Coturnix japonica: one gene and its partners. The protein of the gene in region 3 interacts with the protein of the main gene of each other region in a pairwise test. Links are inferred from orthologs where the notes say so. Each region holds a gene or a part of one and is shown on either strand. Other genes may lie near its edges.

Evidence for each region.
Region 1: the proteins of EIF4A3 (region 3) and PDCD4 interact in binary tests that used the Homo sapiens proteins (3 or more experiments, as listed by UniProt). The two-hybrid records come from large-scale screens. The link is inferred for Coturnix japonica from reciprocal best matches to the Homo sapiens genes EIF4A3 and PDCD4.
Region 2: the proteins of EIF4A3 (region 3) and CCDC174 interact in binary tests that used the Homo sapiens proteins (3 or more experiments, as listed by UniProt). The two-hybrid records come from large-scale screens. The link is inferred for Coturnix japonica from reciprocal best matches to the Homo sapiens genes EIF4A3 and CCDC174.

The regions. Positions count from the first base shown.
Region 1 is NC_029521.1:23,090,160-23,096,502, reverse strand, and holds part of PDCD4 (programmed cell death protein 4), read right to left. Parts: intron 6,201-6,343; coding exon 6,106-6,200; intron 4,440-6,105; coding exon 4,326-4,439; intron 4,094-4,325; coding exon 3,872-4,093; intron 3,602-3,871; coding exon 3,504-3,601; intron 2,153-3,503; coding exon 2,038-2,152; intron 1,233-2,037; coding exon 1,125-1,232; intron 282-1,124; coding exon 171-281; intron 1-170. UniProt on the Homo sapiens protein: Inhibits translation initiation and cap-dependent translation. May excert its function by hindering the interaction between EIF4A1 and EIF4G. Inhibits the helicase activity of EIF4A. Modulates the activation of JUN kinase.
Region 2 is NC_029527.1:8,785,313-8,792,402, forward strand, and holds the start of CCDC174 (coiled-coil domain-containing protein 174), read left to right. Parts: upstream 1-2,368; 5' UTR 2,369-2,457; coding exon 2,458-2,499; intron 2,500-2,819; coding exon 2,820-2,924; intron 2,925-3,677; coding exon 3,678-3,778; intron 3,779-4,372; exon of another isoform or gene 4,373-4,391; intron 4,392-4,644; coding exon 4,645-4,703; intron 4,704-5,818; coding exon 5,819-5,999; intron 6,000-7,090. UniProt on the Homo sapiens protein: Probably involved in neuronal development.
Region 3 is NC_029518.1:14,286,284-14,293,416, reverse strand, and holds the start of EIF4A3 (eukaryotic initiation factor 4A-III), read right to left. Parts: upstream 4,777-7,133; 5' UTR 4,694-4,776; coding exon 4,522-4,693; intron 4,438-4,521; coding exon 4,365-4,437; intron 4,279-4,364; coding exon 4,212-4,278; intron 3,200-4,211; coding exon 3,137-3,199; intron 2,789-3,136; coding exon 2,656-2,788; intron 1,986-2,655; coding exon 1,905-1,985; intron 1,479-1,904; coding exon 1,337-1,478; intron 578-1,336; coding exon 439-577; intron 1-438. Other genes in the region: NINL (ninein-like protein), read left to right, coding at 5,309-5,376, 5,466-5,603, 5,884-6,022. UniProt on the Homo sapiens protein: ATP-dependent RNA helicase. Involved in pre-mRNA splicing as component of the spliceosome. Core component of the splicing-dependent multiprotein exon junction complex (EJC) deposited at splice junctions on mRNAs.

The DNA of each region.
Region 1 (6,343 bases), on a different chromosome or scaffold from region 3:
GACAGCCCAGCTGCCAGTAACACAAGGAAGAAGGATTAATTGCTCTGCCCTGTAGATAGAGGGCAGGCCACAGATCTCAAGGAGAGATGCAATAAATTACAACCAGTACTTAAAAGAAGATAGAAGCTACTTGAAAATCTTACCCAGCATTCTTTCAATGCCATACTTACTCTTTTCATTTGGTCCATAGTAATGACAGAAGACCTCGAGAGAGATTTCAGCAAATCCAGCATCATTTTAAAGGTCTTTTCTCCAGTAGACTCCAAAACCATCACGATTGCCTAAAACAAACCATGCAAGGCTTTTAATTAAAGGAAAACAGTGGTTTGAGTGCAGGTTGTGTATCAAAGTGCAAAAAAAGAGTGAATGTATTTCTGGGGAGACAAGTCCATTTGCTACAAGCAGTTCCAATTCCAGAATATTGTTATTTGAAAGGAAAGCAAAGCCTGATAAAAAGTTATTGGCATAAAGCTGAAAGGTATGAGAAAAGAGGAAGGACTGGGCAGAGTAAAGAACACTGCCTTGTTGGAGGGATACATAACTGGATCTGCATGGTTGCTGCAGCACAGATGGCAATTAATTTTGTATCCAACCATTTCAAGTGCAAACCAAAACTGCCTACTAGATACAGCAAAGATCTTTCTTGTATAGTCTGGTTCTGAGTTATCTCAGCCTTCTACAGAGATACTACATGGAACAATTCCAGCCTGCAAAGGAAACTATATCTTAACAAAAACAGGCAACACCCATTAGAATGCCCAGATGTCTGAAAACTGTTGTAACACGTAATTAAAAGGAAATAAACTCCAATACAACCTAGGGCTTTTGCTGGTATTCCTCAGCAGAAAATAAGCTAAGCTCTTATTTTTCAGGTATCAGTAATAGTCTGAACACAGCTAATTACCCAGCAAACAAAATAAAATTCTGGATCTTCCCAGAAGGACCAGCAGCTTATTTATTACACAACATACACACAGTGAGCACATAAACCATTAACTTTACATGAAGTAATTCAGTTACTTAAATAACATCAAAACTTGAAACTGAGCTTCAAGTTCCAGCTAAATGCATACCCACATCAAAACAACACCCGGCAGTCATTAAAGGGACTCATTTCTCCTTACTTCATATACAAGTTCATGGTGAAAATGGGGTACTTCCAGATCCTGAAGGCAACGTTCAGCTTCCAGCAGGTCTCCAGAAAGCAAATATTCTTTCAGCAGCATATCAATCTATTGCATTTTAAAACAAACAAAACCCATCACTAGTTAGATACAAGATTTAAAAGCTGCCAACTGTTCTGCTGATTGGTGATCAATCTAGTATCAAGCTAGTTCCTCAAACCTACAGCTAGAGTTCTAGTAAATGGAATTAAATTGAGATATGGGCAGGACCCTCAAACATACTGTAAGCCAGATACGTCTTTCTGTAACGTAACACAGATGTGCTACCACTAAAACTTTGCTTCAAGTGATGACTGCAAGTTTATCTTCTTGCCTGAACTCTTTATCATCTGCTACACTCACAGCTCAAGAGAATATAATGTGACTATTTATTTTAAACCTTCTGCCTACTTCGTAGCACAGATCTCCTAAGTTTTCTCAGAACTTCCTGACTTTTATTTTCAAGTTACTGCTGTGCTTTATTTTCTGGCATCAGTGACTAAGACTAATTTCATTTCATCTCTAATATTACTTCACCATTTTGTACTATAAACTCTCTACAAGTTAAATGCTTGAAGTTTAGCTTAAAGCAAGAACAGGTGTACACTTGCAGTGCAGCATATGAGCCAGTATGTTCCCTCCACTGATCACTAGGGATATCCACCTCCATCCACAAAATGATCCACATCAATTTTCATAACCTACTTCGTATAAAGTAAACTGAAATATGAATATTAAAAAAAAAAAAAGCAACACCAGACATCATTTAGCTGCAGGATATGTGGATATGTGCGTTTCTTTGCTCCGTCCCAACCAAGATAAGCTTAAACGAGGAGCATACTCTGCAGAGAAGAGACTTGTAGAAGTCAGCTACCTCTTTAACAAGGTGTTTCACAGACTGCTGGCCACCTCCCGAGCCCCACACATTGTCTATGCGCTTCCCACCCTTTGTCACGCTCAGCAACACGGTAGCTCGGTCCAGCGCAGCTCTAGAAAGTAAAAACAGTGTTTTAGGAAGTTAGGAAACTTCATTAGAAGACACCTGGAACATCCACAACAACCCCACCATATCTATCACTTTTCTTCAGTCAAAGTGATCCTGATTGGGAAGAGGTCACACCACCCTCACGCTCTTGGTTATACTGCACTAAGGACAGGGAATGATCCTGCAATGGCAGTAGGTCGGAATCATCAATTCAAAGGAAAGAACAGTTTCTTTGCCAGAGATGAATTGCATCCAGTCTGCTCCAAGAATTCAGCTTGGAGGTACATCTCAAAACAAGAGGTGTGAGTTGCTTCCATGCTCAAGAGTGGCTTTTGTACTGAAATAAATTTGCTATCTAAAGAACTGTGAGCCTTTAGAGTTCAAGGCAAAACAGCACTTCAGAAGGCAAATACGTAACTGCAAAGAGATGAGAAAACTAGAGTAGGTGAGAAAAAGAAGAAATGTCAGATCCAGTTAGGCACTATCCAGCAAGAAGGACCGGTTATCTCCCAATCCTCATATTAATGTTAGTGAAAAAACTATTCACTGAGATTTAACAAGCAGCAAAGACTGGCCATTTGTTTTGCAGTGAAACTGCAGTGGCAGCAAAACATCCCAGATGTGCAACACGCAGGCTAAGATCCTCCATACCACAGGAGAAACTGGAATAACAGACTAACAGCTTTCTCAGTGTGAACCCCCAAGTGAGGCAGCTGAGCACTGCCCTTCTTCCTAGAAGCATTCAGCTTTAATTGTAACAACAGAGCTTTTTTAATAAGAGTTCAGCACCTCATTATTGAAGTCTGAAACACTTATGGGAGAACAAACAATAAAAGCCCCTGACTGGTTATTACAATTTCTCTTCTCTCAGACCTTCCTTCAAACATCTAACCCCGAAACTGAAAACGTGTATTGATGAATAAAGTGCCACAGTCTAGGATAACACACTGCACAAACCTGAAACCTTTATGAAGCTAAGCACTTAATCCCTTGTGTATTTCACAACAGCTGCCCTGACGCTGTTACTCATTAGTCCCATTAAAGCCTTTTCTAAAGACAAAACCTTTTATAAGCACTTCTTGTTTCAGCTCAGGCTCCCCATTCAAAATTAAGTGGGACAACAAACCCAACAAACTGACCTAAAAGGTATCAATATGTTTTTAAGGCGCTTCAAGTGTTTCTTAGCTGACCTGAGTAAATCTGGGTTTTGTTGTTATTGCAGACTGTGCATTTCTGATCTCTTAACTCAGAATTGAACTCAGAGAACCAAATGATTTGTACCCCAAGTCCCAAATTCCTGATTTTCTTAGGCATTTGAAATAGAAAACCATAGCTGTGGACAGCAAGAAACTTACCGAGCTTGGATGCAATCCACAGTGCCTTTGTAGCCATCTATGTAAGTATTGCTCAAAATCCCATCTCCAACAGCCCTAGCAATAAACTGGCCCACCAACTAAAACAAAACAGAAGCACTTTTAAGTAGAAGTTGAATCTGAAAACAGTTTTAAGCAGACAAATACAATATGCTTGGTTTTCTGATTTTATATATTTTTATCTCAAAGTAAAAGCACAGCCTGGGAAACTGGATACAGGGACTACAAACAGGAAGATTCTCCATAGCTGTTTTTCCATATACAGTCTTACTTCATTTTGCGTGATTAATTTTAGGCACAATTTAAAAGGAAAAACTTTTGACAACCAACATAAAAATCTGCCAACCTACCTGTGGTGCCCTGGGAGAATCCAACACCAATTCAGGTAGATCTTTAAGCAGTCTGTCAAATGATTTTTCCACATCAGTTTTGCTTACTACTGTCCCACAAAGGTCAGAGATAAGCTTAGATGTCATCTCCCTGTGACTAGCCTTCCCCTCTAACGCCAAGGAAACAGCCAGCACTGGCACACTGTATTTCATTTCACCGAGGTTTAAATCTTTCAGCATCTCCTAAAATAAAATTTGTAAAACAAAACAGATTAAGATCTCACCATTTTAATACTATAGAAATGTAAGTTATTAACAAATATTTACACAATACATGCTTCTACCCATGTAATGAATATAACTGCTTTGGTATTCCTATGCACATTTCTGGCACACACTCATTTACAAGCACCTGGGACTCACTTGTACACTATAAGCTTGCCCCCTAAATTAAGTGTAAAGGCACATGACATACCGAAACCTCGTTAGTATCTCCATGTTCAAAATATTCCTGTATGATCGGTGTTAAAGTTTTTTCAAATGCTCTTTCATCCAGAGGTAAAACTACTGTTTCATAGACACAATTCTCCTATTTCAAAAGGAAACAAAAACATAAAGACTTTTGTAAACAAGTGCAAACAGAGTCAAAACAATCTACATCTCTAATGCTTTAGTCCTCATAGTCAGTATTCCACCAGAAAATGTCAGATTATGTCTCTATGGTTGAAGTGTGCACAAGGCCAGCTATATGTCATACTTCTTGTATTTTGAGTTTAGTGTTAATTGAGCTTACTGCTAAATGACAGTAAATACTCCTAGCATTCTTCTGACACCATGTGAACACAGAATCAAGTACCCTGGTACTCAAGGGAGGGTGATAGAAACTCCTATCCCAGCCCAGCAGAGTCATCAGTTCCACAAGATATAACTTTTAGCAACCCTCCCTACAACCAATGTTCCTGTCCCTACCAGCACGCCTGCTTGTTTTCCCTCTTCCCTGGAGGACCTTCATGATCAGACAAGTGACAGCATGCATAGATCTGCCAGACACAGCAAAGCACTTCCAGAACACCCTTAAGCCAAATTATTCCCTAACAGGAAAACATTACACAACAACTGGTCCTGAAGAGTTCTAGCATGGCCAGGACTCCCCACTATGATTTATTTCCTCATAGACTACAGAACGTTTGGAGTAATATTAGAGATTGCTGCAGTCTCAAAGAAATTTCCAGCAAATACTTACAGAAAAGAAATATTCTAGGATCAAGAATTACAGCAGAAGCTCAAAGGCCTACTCTTCTATCATATCGCTTCATTTACAATCTTAGAAAAGCTAAGCAGGCAGGAGTTTAATGCAATTCTCAGTTTTCATACAAACTTATTTTATGCAATCACCAACTTCATTTTCAATAGCTACCTCTGCTAATCTGTGATGAACTGGTGGAAGAAGTGATTCTGAAAGAAGATTCTGACATACCCACAGAGCATCATGTCAGCAGCTATGGCTACAAATAAAAGCTGCAGCTCAAAAGACACCACCATCACTCTGCTGTTGTTACACAAACTTTATTTATGGTCTCACAAATGCATCTGTTGCAGAGACATCAGTAATCCATGTCTGTAATCTCAGGGTTTTAATCTGACAAATTTATTTAGGAAACGCTGCTTTCTTTTTGTTGTTGTTGATAATATAGCTGTAAGGTAGAATCTTCCATAACATATCCTAAATACATGTAAATAAACAGAAAATCCAGGTCCTCAGCTTCATGGTACCTTTAACTGTTTGTACCAAGATGATATTATATCCACAGTGTTAGGGATACAAAGAAGAGAGAAATCCTTAAAAGGTAACAGATAAACTCCCAGCTGCAATCTGTGCTGCACTTTAACATGGTGCCTGCTTGCAACTCAGAGCAGCACTGCAACACTCAGCTCCATGAGAACCAGCAAGGAAAGAACACGCCTGGGAAAAACACACTGTCTAGTGTCTAGTCTATACAAAACCATGACACTAGTCAAGTACAGAAGGAGGGCTTGGGTGTAAGACCTATGAATGCTATCTACTGCAGCACTTCTACACCAGTCATCTTTAAGACAGTAATCCATTCTTAAACAAAAAAAAACAAGTACTTAATAGAGCCGGTCAAACACCCATTTAACCTGTGAGGTGAAACATTTATTAATATGAGCATCACAGTAATTTTAATTAATATAAAATCAAAACAAGCACTGAGCAAAGAAGTCTGTTGGCCTACCTGGTCATCATCATAATTAGGATCCTTAATATCTACTTCTTCCACATCATACACTTGACCTGGTGTTCCCCAGACTCCTTTACCACCTGCTCCACCTGGCAAAATAGAGAACAGTGAGCAACTAAGAAAGGACAGACAGTTCACAAACAAGACTTGAAGTCAACCCAACACTCATTCACACACAGCTGTGCCTGTGGCCACTGACTCCAGCAACATATGCAGAAAATGGCAAGAGAAT
Region 2 (7,090 bases), on a different chromosome or scaffold from region 3:
GGGACTTGATCTTGGGAAGAGATGTCCACATTACAAAAATTAAGTTGCAAACAGCTTTGCTTTTGCCACAGTTATTTGTGGTCTCACACAATGGCTCTTTGACAAAGCGCATGGTTGGTTGGAGAATTAAACTATGGAAAGCAAGAAGTTCCTTCCCTATTAAAAAGGTGTTTGTTGATACAGTCCAAATTCCTTCATAGGACAACTTCTGAGATGAAAACTTTGGGAGAAAGAAAAGACAAGAGAAATTTCTCCACCACAGAGAAGCACAGTTATGTTCCTTGTGTCAAGTGGTTACGAAAATGCATGAAGACACAGTGTCCTAGCACCAGTGTCTCGCAAATATCCAGCCGTTATTGGCCCGCAGTTTTATTTCATCTTAAAGCCAAGATGTGGAAAGTAAGTCAGGTTTCATCCTGCCCCAGGGCTTTGATGTTCTTACTTTCTATGATAAGCAAATCTGTCTCAGAGCAGCAAATCTCCCCGACATCAACATAATTTACTTTTGGATTATGGAAACCAGTCACGGACTCAGATGTGAATGATCCAAATAGTTTATTACAGGTTCTCATGTCACTTTATATATTCACAAGTTCCCTTTTTTGTAAAGGCAGATGGGAAAGCCAGCTTTCCCATTAACAAAGTATCCACAAACACTTCCTAAGCATGCATGCAGGTGCTTATCCAATCAGAGCCATGAGCCGTTCCTTTTGCTTTTCTCTTCTAGAGATGTCCTTGGTTCTCAGCCTTGCTTTCTCATGCTGTTTATCTTGCTCCACAGCTTCTGCTCTGAATAGTCTTTCTTGTATTCCCACACTGGATTCCTATTTAAATCCTTTCTTTATTTTTCCTGTATGGAGGAGACACAGGGAAAGCCCAGAACCAGAGCTTTCAAGTGATTCGTTTTGAGTTTGTGCAACATCTCTCACCAATCTTGCAAGCTGCTGAGATGCCACTGTTTCATACAAAACCCCCTTCATACGAACTGCTGTGATCCCCCATCTTTCTCAACAACAATAAACAAGCTTTTTGTGGTGATGCAGCTTTGTGGAAGTAAACACAATTAAACCTTGTGCTAAAATGAGCAGCATACTAATAAGCGCTGAATCAATTATTCCATAGGAATTCAAGGCTATCAGCAGTCTTAGATCAGGCACGGTAGCTTATAAAGTGTTCACTGATTCCCTGTAAGAAACAAGCAACTGAATCTGTATGATACACACAGTTACCCTGCTTCCTCACCTCCTTTCTTTAGGTTAAGCTGGATTTGCTTCCCACCTTGCAAATGTTCTTATTCCTGCTCCCCCTCTTTCATTTGCATTTTATTAATGCCTGTTGGCTGGATTAAAAAATCCCCAGATCAGCCTTCTACAAATCAGGGCCGACACAGAGCCTTTCTGAGAGCTATAGATACAAAAACTTGTCAGCTCTCAGAAAACACAGAACTACTGAACCAACACTTAGAAAATACTCTGGAAGCCACCTGTCTGGATGCACACTGAGTGCCAAGTCCCACACATAGGCAAGCACAGCAGCACAAAGTGGCTCCACATTTCTAGCAGGCAGGTAGGAGAGCCATGCTGCATGTGCCTCTGTTCCAGCGTACTGGTCTTGCTAGTGTTAACTGACAAAGAATGGAAGGTACAGCTCCTCGTAGCTTGAGCTCATTCTTTGTAGCCCATCACCAACACTGACTGACTCATTCTGAGTCAAGCATGTCCAGGTAGAGCTTTACTACCCACAGAATCACCAGTTCCATGTGTTTCATTCTGCAACAACATGTGCTGGCCTGCAACTGCTAAGAGTAATTCTTTTTTCACACCCAGCCATACAACCACTCAGTAGCACAGCTTTCCCTTGCAATTTTGGCCATGCCACTGAACCAGGAAGGATGCATTTTAGACAGTTGCAGTCGCCTTCAGAGCTTTGTGATTTTTATACGTTTGCTAAAACCACCTGCATAATACCTGCAACATAGAGAGCTGCTGAACACAACGAGGCACTGAAGTACCTACACAGCTATCCAATATTACACTTCTAAAGCTGTTCACATAAGATTCCCATCCCGGAGCCACAGACACTAAGCTTAAGGAGCAGCCACAGTGCCCTACAAGTCAGGTTGTCAAGATTCTCAAAACGTTTTTACATGTGCAGATACAAGGCGAGATCCAGGTCCAAGTCTGACTATCAGGAACACTTCACATTATGAGACTCTCATGATAAAGAAGCTCTTGAGCTCCTGAAAGTACTCAACACCTACAGCACTGGCAGTCCAGCAAGTCCTATCACTATAATGCAGAGCACGAGCAACATCCACCCCCTCCCTCCCCAGCAAAGCAATAGGGGAGGACCCAAAGCTCACACAGCACTGCCGTAATAGCGCCGCGCTTTACGATATCGCCGTAAAGAAAAGGAGGAAGCAGCCGGTGGTGTGTTGCTGGGTGAGCTCAGGCCGCCATGGACCGGAGGAAGAAGCCGCTGGATGTGGCTGCCTCCTCGGTAAGCGAACAGAGAAGGGGAGAGGTAGTATCTGCAGCAGGGGCTGCCGCTTGGCTTATAAGTAGGGCTGCCGTGGTGCGAGGCCTGGTCGGTTGCCTGCTGCTGTAGGGCTCTGTCGTAGGAAGCAGCTTTGCTTCCCATATGTGCTGGAAGCTTAGAGTGACCTCCTCGATTAGATTGCTGCTTTTAAGGGCTATATAGAACTGCAATTCAATGCTCGCATAGCTGTTAATAGCTGTGTTGCTTTGCTCTGTAGAGGTATAATTGTTTCCTGTAGCTGATGGTTGGCAATGTGTTTGTTCCTATTGCCGGTGATGTAGTTGGTAGATCTCAAAGCTGAGCTCTTCCGCAAGCAAGAAGAATTCAAGAAGGAAAAGCTACTGAAAGATGCCGGCATCTTCGCAAAGCCTAAACCCACTAATAAGGTAAAAACAATCTTCTGTTTTTTGTCATCCATTCCCCTTAAACTATGGCAGTTTGTACACGTTTAAATCTCAGGAAATAAGGATTCTGAGCTGTATTGCCATGTGAATTTCCACCATGAGGATGTTTCCAGATGTGGGTTTTGTGCAGCCTGTTCCTGTCAGAGTAGTCTCTGAAGTTTCATTTCCTGGGGAGCCAAAGCTTTTCTATCTACAAAGAAAAATGCTTATTTCTCACTTTCTCACTTATTTGCTTCCCCAAAGGAGGGAAGATGGCAAACTCATCCAGAACTGCTGAGCTTAATAAATGCTGTATTGTGTGCTCCTCTCTATCACAATGCATCACAGTGAACAGACAATTCTCACTCATTTTTACTCCTTTCCATATGTTTTCTATTTGTTCTGTAGCTTTCTAGTACTGGAGTTACCACACTTGAAGGTTGTTTGGCACTGAAATCTGTATTTTTAATCTAAAATGAAGTAGGAGAGAATGCAAGCAGTTCATAGCTTTGTTATTACTTCAGTTATTCATCATTTTTTTCCCATGAAAACTTTGCCAGAATAGATTTTGGCTGATATGTGTTTCCTTTTTCCTCTCAGCCTGACCTTCATTATCACATTGTACAGCAATCTGGCCTTTTAGGATGTACTTGCTGTGTTCCACAGCAGGTAGAGTCTCAAGTCAAATGTGTTTAAGAGCTTATTTAGAAGTCTTACTCTATTGAGTAATGCTGATTGTTTCATGGTTTCCCACAGAAACCAAGCATCTGGACCAAACAAAACACAGGAGTTGCAAAACGAGCTGAGAAAGATATTGAGCAGAAGGCAGAAGAGGATCAAACCTTAGATCAATCAAGGTAATTCTTAAGCTGTATAAGAAAGGAATGTTTTATACAACTTGTTTTTCAATACTTATAAAAGTACATAAAAAGTTACGTGCATTCTGGATGAGCAGTTCTTACCAGATCAACAGGTGAGACCAGCATCAGTCCCATGCTCTGTGGGAGTGATGTACAGGCTGTACCGAAGTGTTCTTATGCTCTGGAGACATCTGCCCTCATATCATCACAGCTATCTGAGTGTGTAAAGCTGCTGAGATTTGAGTGCCATCTTTGGAAGCAAAATCCAGGGCAGTGATGCATCAGAAGTCACGTCACAAACCACGTCTTGGACTTGACAGAAGATGGCTCACTGTTTTGTAAATCTGATTCGTCCCCTAAATGGCTTAGCTATTGTATGGGAAATTGGTTATCACAGCCTGAACCTCTGATTAATCGGCTGAGGCAAGTGTTGGGTCAGCTGTGGGAGCACAGGTGAGAGTAATTTAGCTGTGCTTCTGGAAGGGGTGGAGCTCGACTCCATCTCCTCTAGACCTCATTTAAGGGCTGACCACCACTAAGGCAGCATCTCTTGGAGACTGCTTCCTGGTGGAGACTGCATCAGCATTTCCCAGTGAAGACATCCATATTGTTGACTTTTTCCTCATAAATAGCCTTTTGCGTATCTGTCACTATCTTTGTTACCATCTTTGTATCATTCTACCATACAGATACTATCAGTTAAACTTTAATACAACAACAAAAACCCAACAGGTGTTACTCAGCTTCTAGTAGATATTTCAAGCATTCCTGGTATTACTTTTCTCATTACCTAAGTATAAATGGCTCATTATGAATGGTGTTTGGAATTGGTGAAATTAAAGGTTGGTTTGTTTGTTTCTCAGGAAGAAACTTGAAGAGAAAGCAAAGCTGTATGAGAAGATGACAAAAGGCGATTTCCCAGGTGAACAAAGCTAATCTAAAATAAGCGGTTATATGTGTGCATTTATATATAAGATAGATTTAAGTAGTTACTTGTTTTAATTTAAAATTGAATTATTTTTTACAGAGCTTACTATTAATTAGTGTAGCATATTTAAAAATAGAATCATGTACTTGTTTGCAAAATTCCCCCTAAAGATTGGCCTATCACTATCTAATGGCTTACAGCAGCTGCACTATGAATTCACTGCTTGCCTTCTTCCTTGAGGAATTATTTTGGGGGCTGTTATACAGTGATTAACATGGGTTATTCTGCTATTGGAGAGAGAAAATCATGTAAGTACTAGGAAATGTGAAATTACTTTTTGAAGGACAGTCTGTCCTCGTAAAGGACTATGAGCTTGTTGTATGCAGGCAGTCATTAAGTGGGTGGAATGTAATCTGCTTTTTCAATATAGAATATTAGAGGGGGGAAAAAAATGTATTCTCCATAGTGCAGTCTTTGCATTTCATTGCTGTTTTTTTGTCCTGCATTCTAATTCTTGGGCTTTATGAAGAAGAGCACTGCATCATGCAGATAACAGAGAATCCTAATCTGGCCCTTTCTTTTTTCACACATTCAGTCACTTGCAAGAAATAATTATTGACCAGAATTCAAATCTCCTTGCAGTATCTAATATTCCCTTTATTAGTGTCCAACTTGGTCACATGTGGGCTCACTGCTTTTCTCCACTTTTCAAAGAAGTACTTTAGTGACTGTTTTCTGCCACCATAGTAAGTGCTAAGCACCAAATAAGTGTTTGAACTGTTGTGTAACAACCCCCAGATCTTTGAAATAATTAATGAGCATAGAATATTGTAGTGTGGAGAGGGGTATCTTTTCTGTATTCTGTGCATAAATAATTGCTTTTAAAAAGCATAGAAGTTGTATTCACAAATATAGGTTATCACTGTGGAGCCAGCTTACCGCTCCAAGTTTTTTTGACCTGAAGTGAGATTTAGGTACTCCCTGGTGGTGTGGACAAGGGCATTGCTGGCAGCTGCAGAGGTGATTGTGCCTGTGATGTATCTATTGATTTTTGTGTTGAGTTCTGTTCCTTTTGCGGCTCTTCTCTACGAATTGATTTTCTGCCTTAGATGAAGAAACTGAAGACTTGTACCTAGTGGATTTCACTCAGAAGATCATAGACAAACAGCGAGAAGTACAGGAACTGCATCAGAACGAAACTGATAGAAAGACTTTAGAAAAGGAGACAGATGATGAGGAAATTGAGCCAGAAATGGAAATACCACCACCAGAAGACCCAGATGAAGAATGGTTGGTGCTGCTGAGTGGGCAATTGCATGAGAAAAGAATTCTGTTCCACATAACGCTTACAGTGACAGTTTTTTGTTGGGCTTTAGAGAAGAGGTGGTTCTTTCTGTTTCATGTCTTAATAAGAGACAGTACCTTGTGTTACTTCCCACATAGACAACAAGTGCAATAGAATCCACCCATTACTATGTTTTCAACTAAGATCTTAGCATTAATTACAAAACCAATCTGACTAAACCCTTTCTTTACCAACATGTGAAGAATGCTTATGGAACAAAGATTTTAATGGTGGTAATCAATCAAAAAGAGCACTTTGGCTCTCCAGCCTAATAGGCCACAATAGGATTTGCAGTATAATTTTCCAGAACAAAATAAACCAGGAGAGCACATCCAGGCAGGTACCAGAGAACTACTAGGTTGGAAGGGCAGATAACATGTAGTGCTATTAAGTGTCTTACTGAGATTTGAGATGAAACCATCAGTGATCCAATGAGGAGTCCAAACTGCTCTGTGCTCTTGTCACAGTAAGGTGTCACAAATTTAAACCAATACATTCTGCTGTTCACGTGGTACTTCTCTGTCATGGCATACAGCTCACCTCAGTAACATACGTTATTACGTTGTCGATCTCAGTGATACCATATTCTGATGAAAAATATTTGGATACTGGTATAATTAATCTTCAGCTGTAGTTACCTTTACTGCAAAGAATGCAAGCTATTGTTTTTCTGCTGATCATACATAATAAAAAAGGGCACTGGATATTCACAGAGATGATAAAAAAGAGCAAGCTTACTGAAAGTACAGATCCCTCGAAGTTTGGTTTGTGGGGAAATTAGGTTGTCAATCCTACACTTAGAGCTGTAATGTAAATTCTTTAACTTGGGATAATAGAAGCAGCATGATGCCAGGTAACTTTTAGCAGCACTGAATGGTAAGTATAGCTCTTTATCAGCTTTGACAACTGTAAATTAAGTGTTCGATGCTATGAGGAGTTACTAAGAAGCGTGGTGTGTGCTTCAGAGGAACACTTTGCTTGCATTTTAGTCAGCCTTTGTTATGCATGTTGAATGAATACTATCAAGCTCTTCTAA
Region 3 (7,133 bases):
AAGTGTTAGTTCTGTTTGGAGAATATTTGCACATATGTGCTGGCAAGGACTGAGAGAGACTTTAACAAGTGCTTTGGAGCTGAAGGAACTAAATAGTCCTTTTAGGGCATCACCTATATGACAGGGTTCCATGAACCCTGAAAGGAAAGGAATTAAGGGCATTCATTCAGAGTGATTTTCTTTTAGGAATGACAACCAATAAGTGCATTTGTACCTTATCAGTCCTACTGGTCTAAAAAGGCAGTTGCTGCCAACTATATGAGGTCTGCCTGTAACTTGCTGTCTACATCAGGCATCTCCTAAAGGCATATTTAACTGCTGCTCTTACCAGACAGTTCTCAACCAGGGAAACAACCAGACACTTTGGTTTGGCCCAGCATTTTCCCCTGTGTCTCCCTCTGCAAGTGAGATAACGTGCCCATCTGGTGGCTGCTGTACCTTTCTCTTGGTGTTACAGAAGATGACAGCCTGGGTGATAGTGAGCGTGTCATACAGGTCGCACAAGGTGTCGAACTTCCATTCTTCCCTCTCCACAGCCACAAAAAACTGCTTGATTCCTTCGAGGGTCAATTCATCACTTTAGGAAAGAAGAACAGCTTTAAGACACTGCAAGTGGGTGAGTGCATACAGTGCAGCTAAGAGGGCTGGATGCTCACGTGGCTGTCCCAAGCGCCCTAGGAATTGCTGGGTCTACACTCAAGTTCCTCTATGAAGTCCCTGGAGAAAACTGCTCTAAGAAAGGCTTCAAACATGACCCACACAACAGAGGCTTGAACTTAGTAGCCTCTCTGCGCTAAGCAGACAACTTCAAAGGGAAACATTTCTGTTCTTGCTTTTTCATGCAAACATCCGGGCAGAAAGTGACTGAAGTGAGCTAACTGGGGCAATGTGAGAGACTGGGCAAAGGTGAGGCCTTTCCAATCAGGCTGCCTACATTTATTCCTCCTGACATCTGCTGAGCTTGAGCACATAAGGACTTGCTGCAGTGCCAGACATAAGCTGTGCACCTAGGGCCTTCAGGGCCAATCAGCTTTAAGCTTTCTAGCCATACTCCATAATATCAATAGAAGACACCTACAAAAGTCTAATGGAGGAGCACAGGAATTGAGTAGGAACGAAAGACAGGCTTCCAGAAGAGACTACAGTACTTGGGAGGGTGAGGGAAGTCAGACTGAGCAGCAGCAAACAGAAATGGACAAGGATAAAGTCAGAGAGACAAGGCTGCCCCTGCTGCAAAGTGCAACATGAAGATGTCTGTAAATACCTACTTGAACTGCAGTGCTGAGAAGGAACACGAGTAAGACAAGAACTGCTCTTCCCAAGAAAACTCACTCACCGTTTCACCAAGATGCGAATGGGGTCTGTCATGAATTTGTTGGTCATCTCCAGAATTTCATGAGGCAAAGTGGCACTGATCAGCACCACCTGCGTGGCTGGAGGTAAATATCTGTACACATCATAAATCTGCTCCTTGAAACCTGCAAAAGGAAATCAATTAGCACTGGGAAGTCGGCACAGCTTTCTCCTGAATATCCTTTTCTTTCAGCTTAAACTGGAATTCAGCAGCGGGCCTACACTGTAAGAACACCAAGTGTTTTTATCGTACAGCCAGCATCACCCATTGCTCATCTCTGCCCAGTTCTCCCAGACCCAGCGTGACATGGCTGTGCTGCACAGTACAATACAAAAACCAGCACTCCACAATTTGTAACTACTGAAAAGGACACAATAACCAAGTTAAGCAAAGCATATTAAGTTGTTTCCTACAGCACACAATAGAACTGTGATTCCCTGGCTTTGGTAAAACCAGTTGGTTTTAGAACCAGGACTACTGACTGACTGAGACAATATCAGAACCTCAAAGAGGTGAGTAGAGAAAAGTACGAGGGAGATCAAAATTTCACCTTTGTTGAGCATTTCATCGGCTTCATCCAGAACCAGCATTTTGATAGCACGAGTCCTTAAACTTCGTCGCCGGATCATATCTGTAAGATTTCACTTTGTAAGATGAAAAGGCTCAGAAAGCAAGTGAGCCTACACTGCTCCCAGCCGCTGTCAGTGCATTTCACTGGAGGAGGGACTGGCACTTCCCCTGTTGCCAACAGAGACTGGTGTTTGGTGATGGAAAAGCAGAGCCAAGTGCCACAGTGCTCCCCAATACACCCTGCAACCAGGGGAAGTGGACACAGAAGAGAAGGCTCCAGGGAGACCTCACTGCAGCCTTCCAGTAGTGGAAGGGAGCTTATAAGCAGGAAGAAGACAGACATTTTACATGGGCATTCTGTTTCTTGTTTTGAGACTCAAACAGACCCAGCTCCTATCTCTTCCACAACACTGAGATAAGCCCAGGATTGCAATATTATCACCATTAATAATATTGTTTTCTATGGCACGATGTAAACAACCACTTTGTTAATAAAAGCAAGGGATAAACAGATAATCCTAATTCTTTCCCCAATGTTTGCTTTCTCATCTCTTCCAGCTACTACTACAGTGAATTTACCCTTTGTTGCTCTTCATCACTGCATACACTGATGGTATCACAATAAATGCAGTTTCCATGCTATTCCAAATCTAAATGCATTAAATTTGCAGGATGGTCCCATGGCTCAACTGAAGTGTGAACATGGAAGCACACAGTCTCCCAGCTCTTACCAAACACCCGGCCTGGAGTGCCAGCAACAACGTGCTGCCCATAATCCAGCTTTCGGATATCTTCACCCACGTTGGTCCCCCCGATGCAGGCGTGACACTGGACATTCATGTAGTCTCCCAGAGCAAGAAGACCCTATTTGGACATAAATAATGAATCAACTGAGCTCTTATGGCAGGCTTTCAAAGGCTGGGGATTTGGTTTATATCCCAGGAATCACAACTACTTTTAAAGAGTACTGTACTTAGAAATCCAGGTAGGAATACGTAAAACATTAAGACTGCTAACTAACCCATCCTGTAAGGACCAATGGATATAACACAGAAGGGAGAAACAGCCCTTCATTGGGATTTCTTATTCCATTCAGGACAACGCATTCCTTTGAAAAGCAAAAGTTGCACTTCTAGCTCTGCTGGGGAACACTTGGAGAATCTGCATCAGTCTTTATAAGTACCGTACAGGCAGTAATTCACATGTTCCTACCTTCTGAATCTGCACAGCCAGCTCTCGAGTTGGTGCTAAGATCAGTGCCTGGGTCTCGCGAACCTGTTGATCACACGGCAGTTCATCACATAGCAAGTACAGTGCAAGCAGAAACAAACAGAATAGAGCCCACAGTACCCTGAATTGTCACATCTGAATGATCAATGGTACAATTTTGCATCGGCACACCCAGAAAGCTGCTCCCGCATGGAGTGCTTACACATTTATAGCCCCTTACATTATGTTATAAGACTGTGCCTGACCACACAATGCATGCCAGAGAAATAGATTCAGCCCTCCAATGAAAGCAAACATAGAATCACAGAATTGTAGGGGTTGGAAGGGACCTCTAGAGATCATCAAGTCCAACCTCCCTGCCAAAGCAGGCTCCCTACACCACATCACAGAGGTTGGTGTCCAGGTGGGTCTTAAATATCTCCAGAGAAGGAGACTCCACCACCCCCCTTGGCAGCCTGTTCCAGTGCTCCGTCACCCTCACTGTAAAGAAGTTCTTCCACACATTCGTGCGGAACTTCCTATGCTGTACTTTCATCCCATTACCCCTAGTCTTATCCCCATGCACTACTGAAAAGAGACCAGCCTCACCACTATGGCTCCCACACCTCAGGTATTTATAAACCTGGATCAAGTCCCCTCTCAGCCTTCTTTTCTCAAGGCTAAACAGACCCAGTTCCCTAAGTCTCTCCTCACAGGGGAGATGCTCCAGGCCCTTCACCATCTTTGTGGCCCTCCGTTGGACTCTTTCCAAGAGATCCCTGTCTTTTTTGTACTGGGGAGCCCAGAACTGGACACAATATTCCAGATGAGGCCTCACCAGGGCAGAGTAGAGGGGAAGGATCACCTCCTTTGACCTGCTGGACGGGACCTTTAAGACCACCTCATTCCAACCCCTGCTATAGGCAGGACACCTCCCTCCAGACCAGGCTGCTCACAGCCCCATCCAGCCTGGCCTTGAATGACTCCAGGGAGGGGCATCCACAGCCTCTGGGCAACCTGTGCCGGTGTTTCACCACCCTCACATAAAGACAACCGCCATGTTCCAAGTATGGCCTACCTGTATGTCCAGGCACTGCAGCACACAGATGGAGAACGTGGCCGTTTTCCCTGTTCCCGACTGTGACCTGAGAACAGAGGTGTAGTGAACTCTCTGCCGTTCCGGAGGTAGCACCCACCCCTCCCCCGCATCCCTCCCCCCCGGCCCACGTACTGCGCGATCACGTCTCGTCCCTTGATGATCTGCTTGATGGCTCTCTGCTGGATGGCCGACGGCTTCTCGAACCCTGCAGGACATGGCTGTTACAGCGCAACGCCGCCATTTTCCTCCCCCCCTTCCCCCACACCGCCTCGGCCTTCCCGCCGCGCACCGTAGGCGTAGATGCCGCGCAGCAGGTCCTCCCTCAGCCCCATCGTGTCGAACGTGGGCGTCACGTCCACCTCCTCGCTCGTCTCGAACTCCACCTTGGTCATGTCTTCCTCCTTCATGATCCGTTTCCTCGCCGAGCCGGTGGTGCCGCCGGAGCCCGCGGACCCCGACATGGCTCAGTCAGGCCTGGTCGCCCTAACCGCGAGCTACTACAATGGCGGCGCCGCCGCACACAGGGCGCTGCGCATGAGCGGGATCCGGCGGAAGAGGTGGGAGAGAGGAAGGGGCGGGGACGGGAGCGAGCGGGGCTTGGAGCTGGGGTCAGGGCTTGGGGCTGGTGTGTGTGTGAGGGGTGGGAGAACTGATCGTGGGCAGGTTGCAATGGGAGGGTGGGCTTTGGCCACCACAGGGCTGGGGTGGGTGTTAACTAGGTCCTGGAACAGGCTGCCCAGGGAGGTTGTGGATGCCCCGTCCTTGGAGGTGTTCAAGGCCAGGTTGGACGGGGCCCTGGGCAACCTGATCTAGTAAAGGTGTATGTTTGGTGGCCCTGCCAGGCAGGGGGGTTGGAACTACATGATCCTTGAGGTCCCTTCCAACCCGGGTCATTCTGTGATTCTGTGATTCTGTAACTAAGGCTCTTGTTGAGATGGGAAGCTGCCTCTTGAGAGCAGTCAGGTGGCGTAACATTAGAGGTGTTGACAGAAAGGAAGAGTGGTTTCACTCAGTGCTTCTGTTTCAGAGACCGAAGGAGCCCGGCAGAGCTGCCTGCAGCCCTGGACAGCACAGCCATGGTGTCACAGAGTGGGCTGCAGCGTGCAGACATCACCTCCTATACGTACAAACTGCAGTGCCTCAAGTAAGGGTGCTGCTCCTCGTGAGGGGCAGAGCCTCCATTGGGCTGCAGGAGGTGTCTCTGAGCTGAACGCACCCTTGCTCTGCCTGCAGAAGCCAGGTGAGGCGAATCTCCAGAGAGAGGGACACGGCCAGACTGGACTTGGAGAAAGCAGAGAGACGCTGCCTGCAGCTCAGGAGGGAGTTGGACGAGCAGTACATCGCCCTTAACCATAGCCAGGGCAAGCTCAAGTAGGAAGGGTTCTTTTGGTTGAACAGGGAAAATGGGTCCCCACTGTCTCTTCCTCCTTATCCCAGTCCCCCTTTCTGAATATCTCACTTATTTGGACGTTGTGTGAGTGGCATACAAGCCCCTGAAGATCCCTTGTGTGCACTTCACTTGCGCTTCCTGTATCCCTCCAAACAAGTTCTGCTCTTCTGCTTTTTGTGGGGTGAGCATGGATGCCTGGACCTCACAGTAATCTGAGAATGTGTTTCAACTGCTCTCAGACATGTTGCTTGTCTGTTCCAGGGATGCTCAGACTGAAATGGAGGTGAAAGAGCTGCTTTTGCAGCAAGCCATCAGCCATCAAGTGAAGCTGGAGGCTGATGCACGGTTCCTCCAGGGCAAAGAGGCCACCCTTCATGGGAGACTGAACCTCATGATGAAGGTAAGTAGAACTACCCTGAATTAAATGTCTTCACTCCTTCAGAGGAATCAAAGCAGAAGTGGTGACAATGCCAGATAGTTTGCCTTGCTTTTGCTAGGAAGGGCAGGATTTTGTGGAGAAGTTGTGAGTCACATCCATACTGCACAATTAAAATAAGGAGATTTGCTGGGCAGGACATTATTGAACCCTCACGTAGTCTGTTGAGAAAGATTCAACTTTTAGTGACACCTGATCTGATGGCTGAGGCTAAAATTGTGTGAAGGAACATAAAATAGTAGGGACAAAGGTGTGCCCATGCCTGAGATATTATCTTAGAATCATTTGAGTTGGATGGGACCTTTAAGGGTCATCTTATCCAACCCACCTTCAGTGAACAAAGACATCTGCAGCTAGATCAGATGGCTCAGAGCCCAGTTCTGCCTGACTTTGAATGTCTTCAAGGATGGGGTATCTACCATATCTCTGGGCAACCTGTGCCAGTGCATCACAATCCTCATTGTGAAAAAAAAATACCCCTTTTTCTTTTATCCAATCTAAATCTCCCCTCTTTTAGTTTGAAGCCATTTCCCCCTGTCCTATCACAGCAGACCCTACTAAAGAGTCTCACCCCTTCTTTCTTGTAGCCCCCCTTTAGATACTGAAAGGCCTCTACTGAGTCTCCTCAGAGACTTCTTTTCTTCAGGCTGATCTCCATTCAGACACTGAGCCACTGACCACTACTCTCTGAGTATGATCTTGTAACCAGTTCCCTGTCCATTGAATGGTCCACTCATCAAATCCATTTCTTTCCATTTGGGAGAGAAGTCTGGACAGACAACATCAGTTGATGTAGTTATATCATCACAGAAAGTGATGGTAAAGACTGGGTTGTTCAGAGAGGAGTTGATGTCTTCTCAGTGTGCTGGCACAGACAAGATAGTTCTGTGAAGCAGAGGTACAGACATGCCTACAGTGCTGCCTAGCTCTTATTCTATAAAACCTATGCCTCTTTCTGTTGTTTGGAGAGTTGAGCCAAACTCTAGCTCATGTGGCATGTCAGCACTGTCCTGGCCAAAGTGGGGTTTCCTGTGAGCTGCGCTGTGATCAGCATACTGATGTGCTAGTAGTTCTG